Linked DNA regions of Macaca fascicularis. The protein of the gene in region 3 interacts with the protein of the main gene of each other region in a biochemical or structural test. Links are inferred from orthologs where the notes say so. Each region holds a gene or a part of one and is shown on either strand. Other genes may lie near its edges. The genes, in order: DCAF7, LIN52 and DYRK1A.

Region 1 (6,876 bases), on a different chromosome or scaffold from region 3:
AATACTGGGGCAAACTAAATCCCAATCACGCTGCCATCTTTACTCAAAACCAACCCTGAAACATGCACTTAAGTGAAACAGAAGCCCAGGAACTGCTACCCAGCTTTTCCCAATAAAAGAGGGGCAATAACACCTGGGCCTAAAGACCAAAGATATTGTCAAAACACAGGAGAAATGCCAAATTCTTGTATCTGACTTACTGTAGGTAAGCCAGGTAGAACAAGAGAAAATGAATTTAAGCTATAAAATTACACTACTTGGAGTCTGACTACAAGAATCTGCTAGACTGCAAAATGAGTTGAGTTGAAAGAGATCAGGGAATTTTTCCCCCAGAGTCTTTAAAAGGCAGAGAATGAAATAATGACCTTTTCAGCTACCTTTCTGACCTCTTATTCCTGAATCCTCTCTGGAAAATACAAAAGTTAAATTTACTAAACAGTCATATAATTCTCTTTGGTTATATTTCAATTACAGGTACAGTAATGATAATGATTAAATAACAGCTAACATCTCTATATGGCTTACTCCATGCCAGGTGGAGTTCCTAAGTCCATTACATATATTTACTCATTTAATCTCTGAACAAGGTAGATGTTATTATTTATTGCCCTAATTTTACAGATGAGGAAACTGAGACACAGAGGATAACTTGCCCAAGGCAATACAAAACTGGGAAGTGGCAGGACTTAGATAACCCAGGCTAATCACAGAGCTTTTTTCATCGGTGAAGTTGGATGGAAGGGTAGAGCCAATGTTTAGGGGCATGCAGGCACAAAAAGATCAGATTCCTGCCTCTGGCCAGCAAATGCCAAGGTAGCTCCAGGGCCATGTTCTGAGAGTGCCATCTGATCCCTTAACCACTAGTGTGTCTGTCACCTATCTCCAAGTCTGTTAACTTCAAGGGTGGAGCCCAGGAATGTGCAGCTCCCTTGGGATTCTCACACACTAAAATTTAGAGAACCTGTTGCTCCAACACCAATCCTGCTTTATTCCTCAAGAGACCACAACAAAAGAAGGTAGAAACATAATAACCAATAACGATGCTGTTTTTTGAGCATCGTTATTTGAGGGTCTGGCTCTGTCGCCCAGGCTGGAGTGCAGTGGCATGCTCTTTGCTCACTGTAACCTCTGCCTCCTGGGCTCAAACTTTCCTCCTACCTCACCTTCCCAAGTAGCTGGACTACAGGCAGATGCCACCATACCTGGCTAATTTTTTAATGTTTTTGTACAGTCAGGGTTTCTCCATGTTGCCCAGGTTGGTATCAAACTCCTGGACTGAAGTGATTCTCCCATCTCAGCCTCCCAAAGTGCTAGGATTACAGGTGTGAAGCACCACGCCCAGCCCTATAATGGGGCTTTTTATTCCAGGTGTATTTGATAGAATCTGTTTTTTTACTCTGCAATAATTCCCAAATTTAGTCACACGAAGGAACACCTGGAAATCAATTTCTTAAACTGTTGATAGACTTAATTCTATGGATCAACTAGGAACAATTTTACGTTAGGAAAACATGAGTATGTTAATATCAAATTTTAAAAATTATAACCATGTTTTCTTAGTGAATGTCTCCACACTAAAAAGATGACCACTTCTAGCCTTTTTCATCAATGTTAATTCGCTGTGTCCATTTACTTTTTCCTCTGCTGGTGATCACTATCCATGGCAAGCAGGAACCAATGGTCTAAAAATTCCAACCAATAATTCTAAAGTTTCTCCAAATTACGAAGTCGACCACGTCTTTGGCAGGGCTTCTCACAAACTTAGCTTCAGAATCATTGCTTTAAGGCAGGATTTGCTGCTCACCAACCACTAGACATAATCCTGTCTCGCAGGGTTTCTTAACTTGGGGTCTGTGAACTTGAATTGGAAAATCATGCCCATATTTCCATTCACCTCTAGCTAAATATGTTTTATTTCCTTCAATTACAAATGGGTTAGGTGCTCACAGTGGCATAAGTATCTGTGACTTCACCAGCAAGAGAAATATTTTTTCCCACCACGGTGCAGTTAAGCATCTTGAAATGCTGTTTACCCTTGTCACCACTTCAAAATTACATTAATAATTACACTGGATGGTGTAAATCAATATATTTATTAAAAGTACATATGACTACATCACCACTTCTAAAAACATGTTTATATCTGTAGTGCAACGTAAGTGGTTTCTTTTGTAATTCTACGTGTTCTATGCATTTGAAAACATAACTATGAGAAGGGGTCTATTGGTATCAGATGATCATAGCACACAGAATTTAAGAACCCTGACCTACTGACAGGTGGAGGCACAAAAATGATTTTAAGACAGCACATTGCCTACATCATGTGAGTTAAGATATAGCTAACTGCTTACGCTGTTGATAGTGGGGTTATTAGTTTGCATTTCACTGCTAAGCCATGCTACCTGTGTGCCTGGAACAAAGAGGAAGCTCCAGAGAGTTGCTAAAAGAAAGGACAAACTGGGGTAGAGTTCCTGCAACAGCAGTTTGACTACTCCATTGATTCTACCAGCAGCCTAACTGTGGCTCAGTTTCTCCTCTCTGGAGAATAGGAGTAACTATTGTTTACCCCGTGACACTGGAAAAACACACAGGAAAAAAACATTAATTTGTGTGAAAAATTAAGCTTAAGCTCTTTGAAAGACATACTTTTTTATTTTCCACGTGTATCCTTAAACAATAGTTCTAGTGGTCTTAATTTTACTAACACGGTGTCCACATCAGAATCTTGAATCCCATTCCCAGTTCAGCTGTCCACAATGGGCCACAAGGAAGAAAGAAGCATCAGAGGAAAGGAAATACAGCTCTATTTCGCCCGGGAAATGGGTGAACTTAAAGATCAGTGCATATTGCTTGGATTTGTTTGTAAATATGTTCACGTATGTGTAATGTCTGGACAATGAAAATTCATCGCTTTCATCAGCTTCTCAAAGAGGACTCCAAAGAAGACCTACTCTAGAGAAACGTGCTCCTGAAAAACTGTAAACAAACTGTAAAATATTCAAATTTCTTTTTTACAAGACCCTCACATGTAAACCAGAACCCCTTCCCTACAGCAAACTGTGGGTCACAGATAATAAAACAGGCCTGTGCAACACCTCACAGCTAGTCAATAATCAGACAGGACCCACTCCTAGACCACCTGGCTTTTTCCCCCCTGCATGAGCCTTGTCACTGAACAGTTTTCTTCTTCTTCTTTTTTTTTTTTTTTTTTTGTATTTTAGTAGACAGCGTTTCACCTTGTTACCCAGCCTGGTCGCAAACTCCTGAGCTCAGGTAATCTGCCTGCCTCGGCCTCCCAAAGTGCTGGGATTACAGGCGTGAATCACCGCGCCCAGCCAGTTTTACTCTTCTTAAATCTGATGCTCATGGCATAAGGCAGTAGTGGCTTTAAATATCACTAGCCACAGCTTTCAGTTGCTCTGATCGCTATCATTCAACTTTAATTGAGTAAAAGGAAGAAAGCAAAGAAAATGCTTCCAACTGACTTATTCAGCTTTCAAAGATGAGTTTATGTTGCAATGCCAGTTTAAAAGCTCCCCTACGACACCGTGCTTCTATAAAGGATTCTCAAATTGATGAATGTCCAGCAAGATCTATTACTAAAGGTCACACAACTGTACTAGCATGAAACAAGCCAAAAGATAAGGCCCTGTCATCCTGTGTTCAGGAAACAACCGCGGGATCATGCCACAGGCCAAGATTTCCAAAGAGATTGCTTTAGAGAGAATGGTTATCAGGAAGCAAGAGCAACAGTAATTCTGGCAGAAGGGCTAGGATCCACACCCGGGGTGTGGGAGTAGGGGGCGGGGAAGCTTGTACAACAGATCGTCTTAATAGAAATCTAGTGTGGCCAAGAGTGCACGACCGCGAATAGAAGCGTCTGCATTTTCCTTCACAACTACCACTCCCTCTTCCCTTCCCCGCCCACCAACGAAAAAAATGCGGCAGGAGTGGAGAGCACGGGAGGAATAAATGGAGTATCTTTGGGGCGTAAACCCGGTTTTAAGACCTGTTTCCACCACGAAATAGCTGCCTGACACAGGCAAGTCACAAAACCGTGACTCAGTTTCCCCACTACACTGCCGACTACACAAGAATGCTGCCGGGATTAAATGAGACAGACAACGAGTACGAAACCTTCAGCACAGGGCCAGACATTGGAACCGCTCCATGGCCCTAAGGCGAGTCCGCAGGAGGGTTCTGGGGCCTGGGCTCCGGCCCGGAAAGGGCGCTCCCGGGGCCCGCTCCCCGCCAGCTGGGTTCCGAGGCCCTGCCCGGCCCACCTTGTTGTTGTACTCCTCCACGAAGCTGCCCAGCGCCAAGCGAAAGCGCTTATCGGGCCGCACACTCCAGTTCATCGCGTAGACCGTCCAGGGCGCTTCATACTTGTAGATCTCCTTCCGTTTGCCGTGCAGGGACATGGTGGCGGCGGGGCCGCAGTACGGGCCGGGTCAACAGTGGGCTGCGGCGGGCGGGGTGCGAGTCGGGCGGGGAGCCGGGCCTGAGATCTATGGGTCCGAAGGGAGGAGGGGCGGGGGCGGGCAGGAACGGCCTACCCCGGAAGCGGGGATGCGGCGACAAACAACGACAACGACCGAACCCGACCCCTAGTTTCAAACCAGCTTGGGCACCGACGACAACCACCTTCCGTTTCGGGACGCCGCCCCGCCCTCTCGGAACGGAAGCCACGGGACCCCTGCAGCGCCACCGGCCGTTGGTTGCCTGACACGTCCTTTCGAAAGGATTCTTTCTTCTCATTGGTTATTGCGGCCGTAGCGTGTGAAATCTCCTCGTTATTGGGTTAAATGTTTGTCATTGCAACTACTCGCCCCGCCCAACTCTCGGAGGCAGGCGCTTTGGCAGCCCCAAAGATCATTGGCTGACCAAGATGTCAGTCAGGCAGATAACGGCGCAGTGCGGGTGGTGGGGGCGTGGGTGGCCGGGAGGCGAGCGTGCTGGAGTAGCGGGCCTCCAAGTTCTAGGCCAAGTCTCTGAGCGTGAAACTGTCTGTGACCTGCGCTGACTTCTCCTCTGCTGCTGCTGTTCTGAGCGGCCTTTCCATGCTGTCGAGTAAAAGTACAATTCTGCTTTAGCGGAAGACCTACTACTTTCGCGGGACCGAGCCCCGCGGCCTGGCAGCCTGGCCTATGCGCAACGGGTACCACCTTCCTGCCCCTTCTCTTCCCAAGGCCCCTTTAACCCGAAAGCTGCTGTCTTCGGGCCTCAGGGCCAGGCTTCAGGGGCGCAGCTGCGCTCAGGGCCAGGCCAGCTTGAGTCAGGTCCTCCCGCGCTTTCCTGCAGGATCTAGAAATGTCCCCGAATTCTGGGGTAGACACCGACCTGACCAGCTTGGCTCTGTTTTTGTCGGTTCCCATCCTGTACCTTCCCCGCCGTGCATCCCAACGCAAATGCTAATCCAGCCCCAAAAGTATCTGTGCCTGTGAGTTTGAAAGGGAGAAGGGCCAGAGACCAAGTGACACCTTTATATAAATGGTTTCCAATTCTTAGCTTTCATCAAAATTGAAGGAGGTTTGTATTGAATTGTTGGATTATAACATTAAAGTTTTTTTTTTTTTTTTTTTTTTTTTTAAAGACAGGGTCTTGCCCTGTCACCCAGGCTGGAGTGCACTGGTGTGATAAGGGCTCACTGTAGCCTCGACTGCCTAGGCTCAAACGATTCCACTTTAGCCTCCAGAGCAGCTGGAACAACAGACGTTTGCCACCACACCTAGCTATTTTTAAATTATTTGTAGAGATGAGATCTCTCCATGTTGCCCAGGCTGATCTCGAACTTAGGCTCAAGCGACCCTCCCACATCAGCATCCAGAAGTTCCGGGATTACAGGCTTGAGCCACCATTCTGGGCGCTAAATATAATTTTTAGTGAAAATGATTTTTCCATCTCCCAGGTTTAAGTGATTCTCTTGCCTCAGCCTCCCGAGTAGCTGGGATTACAGGGGTGTACCACCACGGCCAGCTAATTTTTGTATTTTTAGTAGAGACAGGGTTTCACCATGTTGACCATGCTGGTGTCGAACTCCTGACCTCAAATGATCTGCCAGCCTTGGCCTCCGAAAGTGTTGGGATTATAGGCGTGAGCCACCACATCTGCCCAAGAAATCCCCCTTATTTTTTTATTTTATTTTATTTTTGAGACAGGGTCTCGCTGTGTTGCCCAGGCTCTAGTGCAGTGGCACTATCTTGGCTCACTGCAACCTCCGCCTTCAGGGTTCAAGTGATTCTCCTGCTTCAGCCTCCTGAGTAGCTGGGATCACAGGTGCCCGCCACCACGCCCAGCTAAAGGAAATCCCCTGTAAAGAGGAAAGTTTAAAAAAAAATTTAAAAAGGAAAGAAAAAGAAGTACAAAATTTGTGGTACCTTGTCTTATTCTAATAAAAAATAATGATATTTAGCCACAGATAATAGGAACTAATGGGGGGAGGAAATTTTTTCTTTTGTGACCTACATTTCCAATAAAATTTCAGTTTTTATTAGAAAATTGAATATAAATGTTGTTTTGAACAACTGTACTACTAATAGATGTAACCCTTAAAGCCTTATTAAAGTTACAAAAAATTAATTTTAAAATGTCAATTAATTGATACACATTTGTTTTGAGGCAGGGTCTTGCTCTGTTACCCAGGTGGTAGTGCAGTGGGGGAGACACTGCTTATTGCAGCCTTGGCCTCCCGGGCTCAAGCAATCCTCCTACCTCCTTTTATTTTTTGTAGAGACAAGGTCTTGCTGTATTACCCAGGCTGGGTTCAACCGGTCCTCCCACCTCAGCCTCCCAAAGTGCTGGGATTATAGGCGTGAGCCACCCCGTGACCAACCTTTTTTTTTTTTTTTTTTTTTTTAAGAGACTGAGTCTTGGCCG
Region 2 (6,747 bases), on a different chromosome or scaffold from region 3:
ACACCCGCCCATCTGCATGCTCCCCCTCCCGTAAAAGGTTTGAGTGCACAAAGACAAGCCACACCCCTGTCGCATATCCTGGGGTTAGGGAACTCTCCTGTTTCAACATGAGGACTTTATCTTCATCTGTATGCCAATGATTCCATATTTACATTTCCATTGCCAACCTTTCTAAAGAACTACAAAGGTTTATGTCCAAGTGGTTATTTGAATCCCTCTCTATTTACATATGAAAAAACCGCTTAAGGTCAGATGCAGTGGTGCACGCCTGTAATCCCAGCACTTTGGGAGGCCGAGATGGGTGGATTGCTTGAGTTTGAGACCAGCCTGGCCAACATGGCGAAACCCCATCTCTACAAAAAGCAAAAAATTAGCCAGGTGTGGTGGTGTCAGCCTGTAGTCCCAGCTACTTGGGAGGCTGAGGTGGCAGGATGGCTTGAGCCCAGAGGTGGTGGCTGCAGTGAGCTAAGATCACACCACTGCACTCCAGCCTGGGTATAAGAGCCACACCTTGTCTCAAAAAAAAAAAAAAAAAAAAAAAATTCCCACTTAAACCTAATTATCTTCAAAACCATATTCCCCCAATCTTCTCCCATCTCAAGAAATAGCACTACCATAAACCCTACTTCTCAAATCGAAAACCCAGATGTCATCCTTCATGCATTCTTTTCCTTCACCCTTCCATAACCAATCCATGAGTAAATCTAGTCATTTCTACCTTCAAAATACATCCTGAAATCGAATAACCCGAGGAACCACCACTTCCCTCTTGGACTACTTCAACAGCCTCTTAACAGATCTCTCTGCTCCCATTCTTACCCTTTCCCCTTCACGTCCCCAAATCTATTCTCTATAAAGAGGCCAGAAATGATTTTTTAAAATGTCAATCAGTTCGTGTCACTCTGCAGCTTAAAGTTCCTCCCAGTTAAATCTGTGAATGTGTATCTACCATATTCTATAAAATCTTACTCAGCCTCTGCCTAATTCTTTGACATCATTTCTCTTCCACTCTTCCCTTGCACAGAGTAGTACTCAATATTAACATTCGTTGAGTTTTTATTGTATGCTCAGTATGCTAACCAGTTGCATAACTAGTTCATTTAATGCTATAAACAGCGGTTCTTAACATTTTCTGGGTAAGCCACATCTTTGGAAATCTGGGAAAAAAAATGAACTCACTCCCCAGAAAATACACATATGTACAAAATTTTTCAACATGTACTTTTCTCTAAACTGAATTTGTTTTGCCAAATATCCCAAAGGAATTTCCAATGGCATTTTAATTGTAAAGAACTCAACTAATACACTGCCTTAACTAAAGCATTAAAAATTAGCTTCTCTTTGTTACCAATTTCTGAGGAATGTTCAACCATAACAAAAATAAAGTTATTGGGCCAGGTGCGGTGGCTCGTGTCTGGAATCCCAGTGCTTTGGGAAGCTGAGGCAGGAAGACTGTCTGAGCCCAGGAGTTTGAGACCAGCCTGGGCAACATAGTGAGACTTTATCTCTACAAAAAATAATAAGGCAGGGCACGGTGGCTCACGTCTGTAATCTTAGCACTTTGGGAGGCTGAGGTGAGTGGATCACCTGAGGTCAAGAGTTTGAGACCAGCCTGGGCAATATGGTGAAACCCTGTCTCTACTAAAAATACAAAAATTAGCCAGGTGTGGTGGTGTGTGCCTGTTATCCCAGCTACTGGAGAGGCTGAGGCATGAGAATTACTTGAACCCAGGAGGCAGGGATTGCAGTGACCCGAGATCGTGCCATGGCACTCCAGCCTGGGTGACAGAGTGAGACTCCGTCTCAAAACAAAATAAATAATAATAACAATAAATTAGCTGGGCATGGTGGTGTGAGCCTATAGTACCAGCTACTTGGGAGGTTGAGACGGGAGGATAGCTTGAGCCTTTGAGGGTGCAGTGAGCTATAATCATACCACTGCATTTCAGCATGGGCAATAGAGTGAGAGAGACCCTGTCTCTAAAAGAAAATTTTTAAAAAAATTATTGGGGGTACAATCTAATAACCTACACGGGTGACCTTATGATACCACAGTCTGGGATAGAACTCAGACTCTGCTGTGAGTCTTACTCTCATAAATTAAGTAATTAGATGGCTGTATTTGAATTTCAGTTTTCTCCTTTTCAAAGAAGCTCCAGCAAATTTATCACGAAAAAGACAAAAGAGTAAATGACAAACATTTTCAAGTCAATGTTATCTGAATTAAATTTTAAAGACAGTGACAGGTGGAACACTAAAAATAGAAGTGAGAGAGCTAGGCCATGGAATATTTTGGAATGAGATACTTACTGAGACGTTGAATTTAAGTTCAAAGTGCTTGACTTGATTTTTTCAGATTAAAAGAAAACATTAGGTGGAGAGGAGTAAAACTTTGTAAGAGATGAGAATGAAGACTTTTAAAAATCAAGAGTGCAAATAAAGTGACCATAGGGATGGCTAGAAGACCAAAGGAAAAAAATTTAACATTTTTAATACTCTTCCTGGCCAAAGAAAGGAAACTAAATTGAGAGAAGGCAAGGAAAAAAAAAACCAAACTCAAGGAACACATCTCTAAAATCCCCAAAATTTGTAAAAACAATTTTAAAATAAACTAAAAAATTTAATAACAATTACCTCTATTTCTATCACTTGGCTTTTTAAAAAAATTGTGGTGAAATATACATAAATTTTACCATTTTAATAACTTTTAAGTATAGAGTTCAGTGGTATTAAGTACATTAATTGTGCAATCATCACATTCATTTCCAGAACATTTTCACCTTCCCAAACTGAAATTTGGTACCCATTAACAATAACTCCCTATTCCCTTTTTAAATGCCTTTCTTTCTGGCGAGAGAAGGACATTTTTGCAAGAGAGCACCCAGGAAGGAGAATCTCTTTTGACTCCAAACATCCAAATTTCTTGTTTTTCCTTCTTTTTTTTTTGAGACGGGGTCTCGCTTTGTCACTCAGACTGGAGTGCAGTGACATGAACATGGTTCACTGCAGCCTCCACCCCCAGGCTCAAGTGATTCTCTTGCCTTAGCCCCCCAAGTAGCTGGGACTACAGGTGCACGGCACCACACCCAGATAATTTTTGTATTTTTTTGTAGAGATGGGGTTTCACCATGTTGTCTAGGCTCGTCTTCAACTCCTGAGCTCAGGCAATCTGCCTGCCTCAGCCTCCCAAAGTGCTGGGATTAGAAGTGTGAACCACCACGCCCGGCCATAATTTCTAACACAGTATGTACCTGTGCTCACAAAATTTAAGACTCGGTTAAACGTAAAACTTAAGATCAAGTAATATATTATTTCTGCACATATCTAATCAATCTTTCAATACATGTTAATTAAAGACCTACTGTTCGTCAGGCACTGTGCTAAACCTGGGATCCAGCTATGAACAAGACAAACTTGTAATTTATAATCTAGCGTACAAGGGGCAAAGTTAACATAGTAACTATGCTGACAAGGAAGATACTGAGGCAATGAATAATGGTGGGGAAGGGCAACTCCAGATACTGTGTTCTAAGAAAGACTCTTTGGGAGGTGACATCTAAAAAGAGAACTGAAACTGGAAAAAAAAAAAAAAAAAAAAGTGTGTATGTTTGAGTCATCTTTTGGTCTCCCAAAGCACCTAGCATTATGCCTTTCATGTAGTAGGTACTCAATACAGCTCACCTTGGCTTCAATTTCTTCATTCCTGCAATGAACTTCCAAGATTCCTTCCAAATACAAAATCTGTTTGTCTAAGGGAGGGAAACCTATATATCAATAAAATCGATATATAGTTGGGATGCGGATGGTAGAACTAAAAATGAGTTTAAAAATGACTGCAAGACCCTCTCTAAAGCAGAACCAAAAGCAAAAGCATGGGAGTATACCAAAACAACTTGTTACTTGAGATGACTTGCATTTTACACAACATATAAACAGAAATCGTTCATTCACTCAGCCTTAAGAAACAACACGTAAAGCAGATGAAAGAGCGGTTGCGACCTGTGCAAGACAACACTTAAAAGCTCAATACTCATTCTCCTCGCGACTCTCTCGGCGAGGGGCCGAGAACGTCCCCCGCTTCTCTTGCTGCCACGGCAATGGTCCCAAACTGAGGAGACAGGAGAGAGATCATGTTTCTCTTGCGGTTCACTATCGAGATGGGGTCAGCCAGCAGCCCCTGCGAGGGTTTGAGAATCGTTCCATCTGTGCGCTCAATCAGAAGAGAACTGATCCTTTCAATGGGATACCCCAAGGAGAAAACTACAGTAAGGCACGTCCTCCAGTAACATCTCCTCCTCTACCCTCAGCCTCGCCCAAATAGAGATAAGGAAGGGCCAGGGCGACCCCTGTCCTTTTACCCAGAATGAGTCCCTCCCTAGTGCCCTCCTCCACACGCCTGGTACAGAGCAGGGAAACTGGGCACCTCTGAAGCTGCTGCGAAGAACCGGTGAGCTGAAGACGGCGATGGATCGCAAGAAAAAAAACAAAAGGGAAATGAGAAGAGCCCAAGAAAGAAATGTATGTTCGAGGGGCAGAGACAGAGTGGATGTTCCCCATACAGCAAAGAAGGAGGCTGCAGGCAAACATCCCTAAGCCGGCTCTTACCGTCTGTGGGAGACGCCATCTTCCAACCCATGTCACGTGACGTGGCCAACCGTCGGCGGGAAAACGAGGATCCATAAGCCACGCCCCCAAAGAGAAACCCTATCCCCAACTCGCAGCCACGTCTCATTCCCTCGCCTCATAGGGCAATCTTCGCCCAGCCCCTCCCCTCATCATAGCCACGCCCCTTATGCAGTTGTTGAGGTGGAGCGACAGCAAAATTCTTGGAGGGTCTTATTTACTTTGCTCAGTGAAGGGGTGGGGCCTCGGTTGCGTCCTTGGCCAATCGGAGTTCCAGGTTAGGGGGGCGTCTCCTCCGTGTGCTCAGTATGGAGTGTCCAAGTCGGGGGCGTCTTCTCTACCTCCGCCAACGGCATTGGCTGAGGTAGGAGAGGGTGCGAGCATTTTCGCTCCTGACCAATCACTTATCCCCAGGACTGGGGTGTGAGAGGAGGAATCAGGTGTTAGGACGAGTGATTGGCTGAAGAAAATAGTCCTCCCCACCAATGAGGAAGCCCGGCAGGATGGAGGGCGAGGCCTGGCAGCTGTAGTGCGTCTGAGCTGTAGAGGAGCGGGTTGCGGAGCTAGGGCGGCCGAGAGCCATGGCGGCGGTAGTGGCGGCGGCGGCGGCGGTAGTGCGAGCCAGGATCCTGCAGGCGAGTGAGGGTGGCGCCAAGGCACCATGAAGCTAGGAATTGGATCCTTTCCGTCCACTCCCTGAGCCGTCCTCGGGCGGGACCACCTTCTTGGCCCAACCCCTTTTTGGCCGGACCTCCTACCTAACCTGTGGGCCCTGTCCCATGCCCAGCCCTCACTTCATACCCTCCCTCGTCCCGGATCCAACCCTGGGCTGTTACCCTTGGCCCTCTACCCTTTTACTCCTAAGCCTCCTCTTTTCTGGCTCTCGCCCACTCTCCTTCTCCAGCTCTGCCCGCTCCCTGCTGTCAGTCTCTTGCCCTCATCTCTCCATCCGCCCACCGTCTTTCCCTTTCACCTCTGCACCAGCGTTCTCTCTATCCCCCAGAAACTACTCTTTTTGGTTATTCTGTCCCCTGCCTTGAGTGTCCACGTTGCCATTGCTCCCTTCCCCCACCCTACTTCACTGTCCGTGGTGATCCGAGGTAAGAGGGAGGGGGAACGTGAGGGGCGAGGGTCAGTGTATGAACTTTGAATTTTCTTCTAGAAGTGGACTCTAGATTTTCACCAAAGGCAGCCATTTACCGAATTATTTTCCCTAAGTGTGGCTCTTTGTATTTTCCATAGACTGGCTGTCCCCTTTCTTGCCAAAACTTTCAGTGAAACTTTCAGCCAAGTTAAACAGTTTACATAGATAGGGCACATGTACATAGGGTAGATAAGGGCACACAGTTAACGCTACCAGTATGTTCCATGTACGTTCAAGGTACTAAACATTTTCAAAACAGGTGATAGAAAGTGGGAGCCAGGTAAGACAAGAAGTCTAAGTTCCCACCCCAAATCAGCTCTTCTAGTGCCACACACCCTCATCTCTGCACTTGGGGGATTGAGTCCTTTCTGAAGCCAACCTAAGGAGAAATGGTAAAGCTACAGGAGTTGCATGCCTGAGGCCTGTAATCTCCAACTCTATAGTCTTTCCCCTGTTCATGGCCTACCAAGGATTTAGAGTATGAGGCAAGATTTACTGCAGGCAAGAAACAATCAGCAAGAAACAACAGTGCCCTTCTTATTCATTACATCCAGTCTGAGAATTTCCTCTGTATTGCTGCGCTTTTAGGTAATATTAGTATTCACCAGGTTTCCGTGAGTTCTAGTACAGAAACTTGGGCATTTTCAAGATTCTTGGCAGAGTCAGCAAAGATTCACGTTTAAATATGCTATTTAATGGGGACGGTAGAAAGGATGAGTTTGAAGGGTTTGTCAGATGGTCTGGCCTCACTCATATTTCTTGCTGTGATCCTTGTTCTGTTCTAGTATCTTTTTTTAGTAGCAGGAAAACAAAGTTTCCACCCTATATTTTTCTTACCAACTTCTTGAAATCTTTTACTGAAATTGGTTTTTTTCCTTTGCCTCCTCTTCCCCTCCCATCACAATGAGTCATTGAGAACCTTAAGAAAGTATTTTGTTCTTTTCCATCAAGGAGAAGAATCTCTCTTTCCTTGTACTTTA
Region 3 (6,738 bases):
ACCATGTTTATAACAAGGTATCTTGAATTTTCCTTTTGCAGATAAACATTCATAGCACTCTAAAAACCTAAAGTAAATTACTTAAGATACATTGTTGCAGTTACCTAGGCCTCTCCACCTCCATATCTTTAAGTCATAAACAGTAACTCTCCATAATAGTAACTCTCCATAAATAACACCGAGGAGCAAACATCAGACAATATTTTAGAGGGGAAAAAAACTTTTAACAAATGGCCGTTTTTACTGTCCACATTCCCTAACAAGACATTGCACTAATATGGAATGTTTTACATTATCTTAAATGTTAGTGCCTCTAAAAAACTGGACTTATTTTTAAATCTCTTGTACACAATAATGCGTTAAGTTTCTAATAGGTTCCACCAAAATATCGTTAAAAGGTTTAACAGATGATCCTACACTTAGATCTCAAATTCCTAACAATAACAAGAGATCTCACTAGGTCATCTGGTCCATTTCTCATCCCTACCAATAATCACCATTCATTCAAGTCTATTCCTTCAAACCTTTCTTCAACACCCACCAGGTAAAAAGGAGTGTGCCTTCGTGGTGCAAACACAAGGGGTGATCCTTCCTCCTTTAATGATCTCTGAGGTCTTGAGGTAAAAATGAAATGTTTACAACTAGTCTTACAAGAGAACTAGGTGTAGACATTGACAGGAGTCAACTTTCTAGCATGGTTTGAAGTCTTAAATAAATTTGGACAGCTACCATAAACACCACTGCTATACCAGGGAAAATCCTCCAAAAGTACTGGGATACTTGAAGTATACGTAAAAAATCTTAACTACAATCAAGTAAGCTTTTTTCATAACCAGTTGCTTTGAAATGATCTTCTGCAGTTTAAAACCTTAGCACATGAAACTTTAGTTCTAGTCTCACATTTTTAAAAGTCTACTTGAAAACCATATTCTCCTAAAGTAACTGATCAAGATACGAGAAATTTAAGAAAACAAAAACTAAAGGTAATTCCACTGAATTATTAAAACACCTCAAAATCAAAATGCTAAATATATTAACTTTGGACACAAAATATAAAGGGGTCACAGAGGCTCTTAAGCAAAGAATAAAATAACTAAAAATAACTTCACACAAAACTTTCTTATGACTCATCAATACTCAGAAGATGATTTTAATCAAAATTAAGTTTGAAGTACAAAACACACCAAGGAGTATTTTTTAATTCCTTTCATTCAAAAATTAACTACATAGTTTTCTTGGGGGGAAAAAAAGGACGGAAAAGTTTCATTAAGAGGGCTCATTACCATTACTTTACCTTTCGGCCTCGGCAAGCCACAAAGGTTATTAATTCCATGCTAAAAACCATACGGGGACACAATCTCTAGGTTAGAACCCTGAGTCATTACACACGAATCACTCCAAAATTTGCCAGTATTTATAATAATAAGTTACACCCTAGTGATTCACAAGTCCAGACTGGCTACAGCTTCCCGGCTCCTGGAGTCCCAGCTGTATTACCTCAGACCAGTCAGTGCCCCTTCTCCAGGCTCAGTCTCCTCATCTGTAAAATGGGAACAGTTCCTACCGGCTGGGCAAGCTGGTCGCTCCACGGAAAACCCTGAGAACAGCGCCTGGCACTTGTGAAAACCATATTCTAAGGCGTATTTTCTGACAATTTGGGAGGAATTCAAGAACCAAATGGTGCTGGCATTCCTGCGCTGCGCCTAGATTACGGGATTCGTGTCACCTAGGGTTGGGCTAAAGGCACAGGCAAGGAACCGAAGTCACTGACTCACTAATTTTACCATTTTTAACTATTTCAGATTAGGGAGGAGCCTTTGGCCAAGAGCTGAACTGCTCAGCAGCTTCAGTGGCTCCGAAGCGAGAGTGGGTTTGTGCCTATAAATAGACTCGTGAAGTTTTGTGGCGATACACAGGTATCCATTCTAATTCACCTCTCCTCAGCCACCAACTCCCCCGGCTGCCGGGCAGGTCATCCCTCCACCCCGAGCCGCCGGGGACACTCGCGCTCCCCGCCCAACATCGGAGACCAGTGAGTGCCCCTCGCTCAGGCGCGGACCCCCAGGGCCGCCGAGGCAGCGGCTCCCGACCTTCCCCGGCGCCCGGCCCGGCCCCGCCGTCCTCGCCCAGCCGGCCCCATTTTCTTAACCCGTGCATTGTCCTTGCGAAGCACCCCGGCGGTTCCCACACTGGTGGGGACCGAGAGGAGGGACGAGGGAGGAGCTGGGGGAAGAAGATGAGGAGGAAGAGGAGGAGGAAGACAACCTCCACCCCTTCGCTCGGGCGGCCAGTGAAGGTCTGGCGCTGTCTACGGCCCCCCAGGCCCCGGCTCCCGGGAGGCCGCGGCCCCCGCTCCCACCCTCCGCAACTTTCCCTCCGCTCGCGCCCGCCGCTCCTTTGGGACCGGGCCTGAGGCTCCCTCCCCCGGCGGCCGGCCCAGGGCCCGCGGCGCCTCCTCCTAAAATGGCAGGTCCCTCCCTCCGCCCGGCCGGCCTCGGCTCGGGCCCGGCTGCGGGCCGCCGGGGTAGCCGAGCGCCGAGCCGGGCGGGGCCGCGGCCGGGCCGGACACTCACCGGGACGATGGCGGGGCGCTCGCGCCGCTTCCTCCGGTGAGTCTCAGCCTCGGGCTCCCGCGCCGCGCTCCCGCTCCCGCCGCGGCCTCCGCAGCCAGCGCCGCCCCGGCCGCCTCTCTCCGCCCCCGGCGCTCCGGCTCCTGGCCGCGCCGCAGCCTGCTCAGTCTCTCCTCGGCTCGCGGTTCCAGCGGCGCCCGGGGCCGGGGAGGCGACAGCCCCCTCCCCGGCAAATACCGCAGTCCCCGGGCCCCGATTCCCGGCGGCGGGGCCGCGCGGCCCGGCCCGGCACAGAGGGCGGCGGCGGCGAGGCCGGGCGCCGAGCGGCGGCTGCTGCCGGCGGCTTCTTCCCGAGGAGGATTTTGTAAATCTCACAAAATGGCGCGCGCTCCGAACCTGCGCAGCGAGAAGCGCCGGGGCCCGGGCGGCGGCGGCGGCTCCTCCGCCAGGAGAGCCCGAACCGCCCGCCCCCGAGTCCCCGCACAGACAGACAGACACTCGCACACACCCGCACACTCGCGCGCACACTCGCCCTCGCACACGCTCCCTCGCACACACTCGCACTCACACCGGTCCCGCCCGCTCGCCGGCGGCGGCAGCGGCACCAACAGCAGCAGCAGGAACAGCAGCAGCAGAAGCGGCGGCGGCGGCGCCCGCACCCCCCGCTCGGGGTGTCCGCTCTCTGAGCCCGACCTGGGCCGCGATCAGCAGCAGCGACGGCAGCAGTCTCCCCGGATACCCCCGCCGCGGTTGCCGCCGCCACCCCCGCCTCACTCCAATGGGGCTTTTTATTATTATTCGGGCGGGAAGCGAAAGGGTTTAAAAAAAAACCAACCAACAAAATGGCGACGGACCGACCCGGTCGCTATAGCAACTGTCAATCAAAACGCAAAACCCCGGCTGACGTGCTGACGTCCTCCTCCCGCCCCCCGGCCCCGATCCGGCGGGCGGGGCCTGTTGCTCAGGTAACGGCAGATTCCGTTCCCTCCTTTCCGTCTCCCCCTCCGTCCCCAGCCAACCACCCAACCCCCTCAGGTCACGTGAAGGATAAATTCGGAGCTCGGGCCCGCTACGAGTGTCAGAGGAGGGCGCGTGATTCGCCCGGGGGAGGGGAGAGGAGGGGGACGGCTAGGCCGAGAGAGGGTAGGGACTGGGGAAGGGGGGGCGAGGCGGCGGCCAGGCCTGTGCGCGAGCGCCCGCCGCCTCCCGGCCGCCTCGCCCCGCCCCGCGCCCGCGCCGACTGCGGCCCGGGGAGCGCGCGCGGCCTCCCGCGCCGCCGCCCCCGCAGCCCTAGCGCCCCGCGCTTCCGCGTTGGCGCCCGCAGCCCCGCCCGCGCCGGGGGGAGGGGAGGGCTGCCCCGGGCGGGGGCGGGGGAGGGGGAGGGTCGGGGCGCCGCGGCCTTCGGGCAGGGACCCGGGAAGCCCACCCCGCACGCCCGGGCCTGGAGGGCTCTCACCGCGGTCCGGACGCCGCGCTCGCCTTTCTCCCCGGGAAGCGCGCCGGCCGCGGCCGGCCGCGCGTGGAGCCGGTTCTTCGAAGGGCTCGCGGGCCTCCTCGCCGGAAAATGCCGGCGGAGGCCGCGGTGGGGGCGGGGAGGAGCCGCCGCCGGGCCCCAGACATCGCAGGAATTCCGGACGCTGCGCCGGGCCCCGGCGGCCCTGAGGCTGGCACCCGGCTCCGGTCGGGCCGCTCGGGTTTTGTGGCGCCCGAGACCAGCGTTGGGAAATTAGGCTGGAGCCATCATGAAAACTTTTTCAGGCTGTGCACGCTCGCCCGTCCCTGCCCATCTGCTTCCAACCCCTCCCCACCTTTCTGGGCGCAGCCTGCCTGCTCCATCGGAATGCCCCTTAGATAAATCCCCTTGTGCTGTTACTGTGTCCTTGTCGTCCAGCTCCCTGGTTTTCTTTTCTGTGCAGCTCCTCGGTTTCCAGCGTCTTAATTTGCCTACTTGTCCTTAACCATCAAAACTCTTTATTAATATCCTGGCTTTCGCTGATTTTTATTCTGTCTACCCCTTCTGCCTGCCTATGTATTGCTGGGTGAGCTCCTGAGGCTTGAAAACCCAAGTATGCCATGCTGGCTGCGTTGTAACCGGCATAGAGCCACCAGCTAAAAATTGTATTTTGTACCAGCTCTAATGGCATTTAATAAATGTATAGCTTAAAAAAGTGTGTGTGTGTACTATTTTACAGCAGAGTCACTAATTGATTTCTAAGCTTGATTTTGCCTCCTTGTGATAGTGTTCATAACCAATTTTTTTCATAAACCTCACAAATATAGTAGCAACAGATAAAATTTTATAAACGATATTAGGTGTAAAAAACTAGCAGTAAATACCGCTGTGTATGCTACATGACTCAAAGACACCTGCTTTAAATGATTTCCAGCAAAAATGTCCTTGCTACAGTTACTAGGACATTGATGTACTAAGGTAACCATTCAGATTAGCACAGACTGAAAGAAATCCGACTAAACCGAAAATAAACTGGTCAAAAAGTAATTACTAAGGTAGCCATTCAGATTAGCACAGACTTGGAAAGAAACCTGACTAAACCGAAAATAAATTGGTCAAAAAGTAATCGGGCAAATAGCTTGCTTTCAGACTGATCTCCATAATATAAAAAAAAAGTTGCCGTAACGGGCAAAAGTTCTTTCGGATTATTGTTTCAAAATTGCCCTGCTAATGTGATTAAAGTCCACGGTCAACTTAATTGTTTTGAAGAAAGAGGAAGTGGCCCAGAGCGCCCCTTATTCAGAGGAGAGGTCGCTACCTGGTTCCTCCCAAGCTCAAACTTCCACCTATACAACCAACTCCTTCCTCTCTGCTCCCGGGTCTCTCTTTCCTGCCCCCACCCCATCCCACCCCGTTAACCAAGCTTTCGCTTCTATCAGAGCACGTCAGCATTTGCAACCTTTAGTACTAAATTAAATTTGACTCAAAGTTTTATTCCTGGTAATGGAAGAAACTTGCGTAGTTAATCTTCTTAGGTAACCGGAACAGAATATGACAGTGTCTCAAGATATGTGTCCTTGTCTTCAGTTCAAATCAACCCAGAAGATCATCGGAGTAGGGCAGAATCTTGAGATTAGAAACGTGTGGGAATAGAAGGCATCGCTGGTCTTCGTATCTAGAAATCTGCACCCCCTTTTTCCCCAGTGTGACAGCCTTGGACAACATTGGTCAGTGAATGTCATATCCAGGTTGGAATGCTATAAAATGGTTTTACACAGGCTTCGCCTAAAAACGTAACCTGTAAATTACAGCTGGCTCCAAACAAGTGACCACATGTAGGCCGGAAGGACTCTGGTACAGATGCCAGCTGACCTGGTTCACAGATGAAATCCCTGTCATCCAAGAATCTCCCCATTAGATTCACTTACAGGTGTATTTATTCATAGACTTTTCACCTTGAAAAGCAAAGGCCCTCAGCTTATAGGTGGTAACAGCCTCCACTTATCCAGCACGTTCTAGAGTATCTCTAATCCTCACAGCAACATTGCATCCCCACTATAGGGATGAGAAAACAAGTCCTGAATAATTGCATGACTTTTCTCAAGGCAGTCACCACTCACTAGTAAGTGGTGAAGCCAGGATTCAAACACAGGTATAATTGCAAAGCCCATGTTCTTTCCAACACACCAAGATGATTCAAGATTACGTGGAGGTAGAGTCTTCACAGAGGATATCGAGTTGGGTCTCTAGAGTGAACCCTAATCCAAAATGACTGCTGTCCTTATGAAAAGGAGAAATTTGGGCCGGTTGCAGTGGCTCAAGCCTGTAATCCCGGCACTTTGGGAGGCCGAGATGGGCGGATCACGAGTTCAGGAGATCGAGACCATCCGGGCTAACACGGTGAAACTCCGTCTCTACTAAAAAAATACAAAAAACTAGCCGGGCGAGGTGGCGGGCGCCTGTAGTCCCAGCTACTTGGAGGCTGAGGCAGGAGAATGGCATGAACCCGGGAGGTGGAGCTTGCAGTGAGCTGAGATCCGGCCACTGCACTCCAGCCCGGGCGACAGAGCAAGACTCCGTCTCCAAAAAAAAGGGAGAAATTTGGACGGACACAAACACATACGAAGACAACGTGAAGACACCAGGAGAAGGTGGCCATCTACAAACCACCGCGCACCTGAGGCTACCAGAAGCTGACAAAGAAGCATGGAACAG

The links.
Region 1: the proteins of DYRK1A (region 3) and DCAF7 form a complex in vitro, tested with the Homo sapiens proteins (2 studies listed by BioGRID). The link is inferred for Macaca fascicularis from reciprocal best matches to the Homo sapiens genes DYRK1A and DCAF7.
Region 2: of the proteins of DYRK1A (region 3) and LIN52, one has a biochemical effect on the other in vitro, tested with the Homo sapiens proteins (3 studies listed by BioGRID). The link is inferred for Macaca fascicularis from reciprocal best matches to the Homo sapiens genes DYRK1A and LIN52.

The regions. Positions count from the first base shown.
Region 1 is NC_088390.1:70,057,976-70,064,851, reverse strand, and holds the start of DCAF7 (DDB1- and CUL4-associated factor 7), read right to left. Parts: upstream 4,655-6,876; 5' UTR 4,422-4,654; coding exon 4,284-4,421; exon of another isoform or gene 4,159-4,283; coding exon of another isoform or gene 4,138-4,158; intron 1-4,137. UniProt on the Homo sapiens protein: Involved in craniofacial development. Acts upstream of the EDN1 pathway and is required for formation of the upper jaw equivalent, the palatoquadrate. The activity required for EDN1 pathway function differs between the first and second arches.
Region 2 is NC_088381.1:142,021,872-142,028,618, reverse strand, and holds the start of LIN52 (protein lin-52 homolog), read right to left. Parts: upstream 4,644-6,747; 5' UTR 4,637-4,643; coding exon 4,606-4,636; intron 1-4,605. Other genes in the region: ALDH6A1 (methylmalonate-semialdehyde/malonate-semialdehyde dehydrogenase [acylating], mitochondrial), read left to right, coding at 5,205-5,258.
Region 3 is NC_088377.1:9,630,880-9,637,617, forward strand, and holds the start of DYRK1A (dual specificity tyrosine-phosphorylation-regulated kinase 1A), read right to left. Parts: upstream 4,360-6,738; 5' UTR 4,027-4,359; intron 3,435-4,026; exon of another isoform or gene 3,406-3,434; intron 3,180-3,405; exon of another isoform or gene 2,574-3,179; intron 1-2,573. UniProt on the Homo sapiens protein: Dual-specificity kinase which possesses both serine/threonine and tyrosine kinase activities. Exhibits a substrate preference for proline at position P+1 and arginine at position P-3.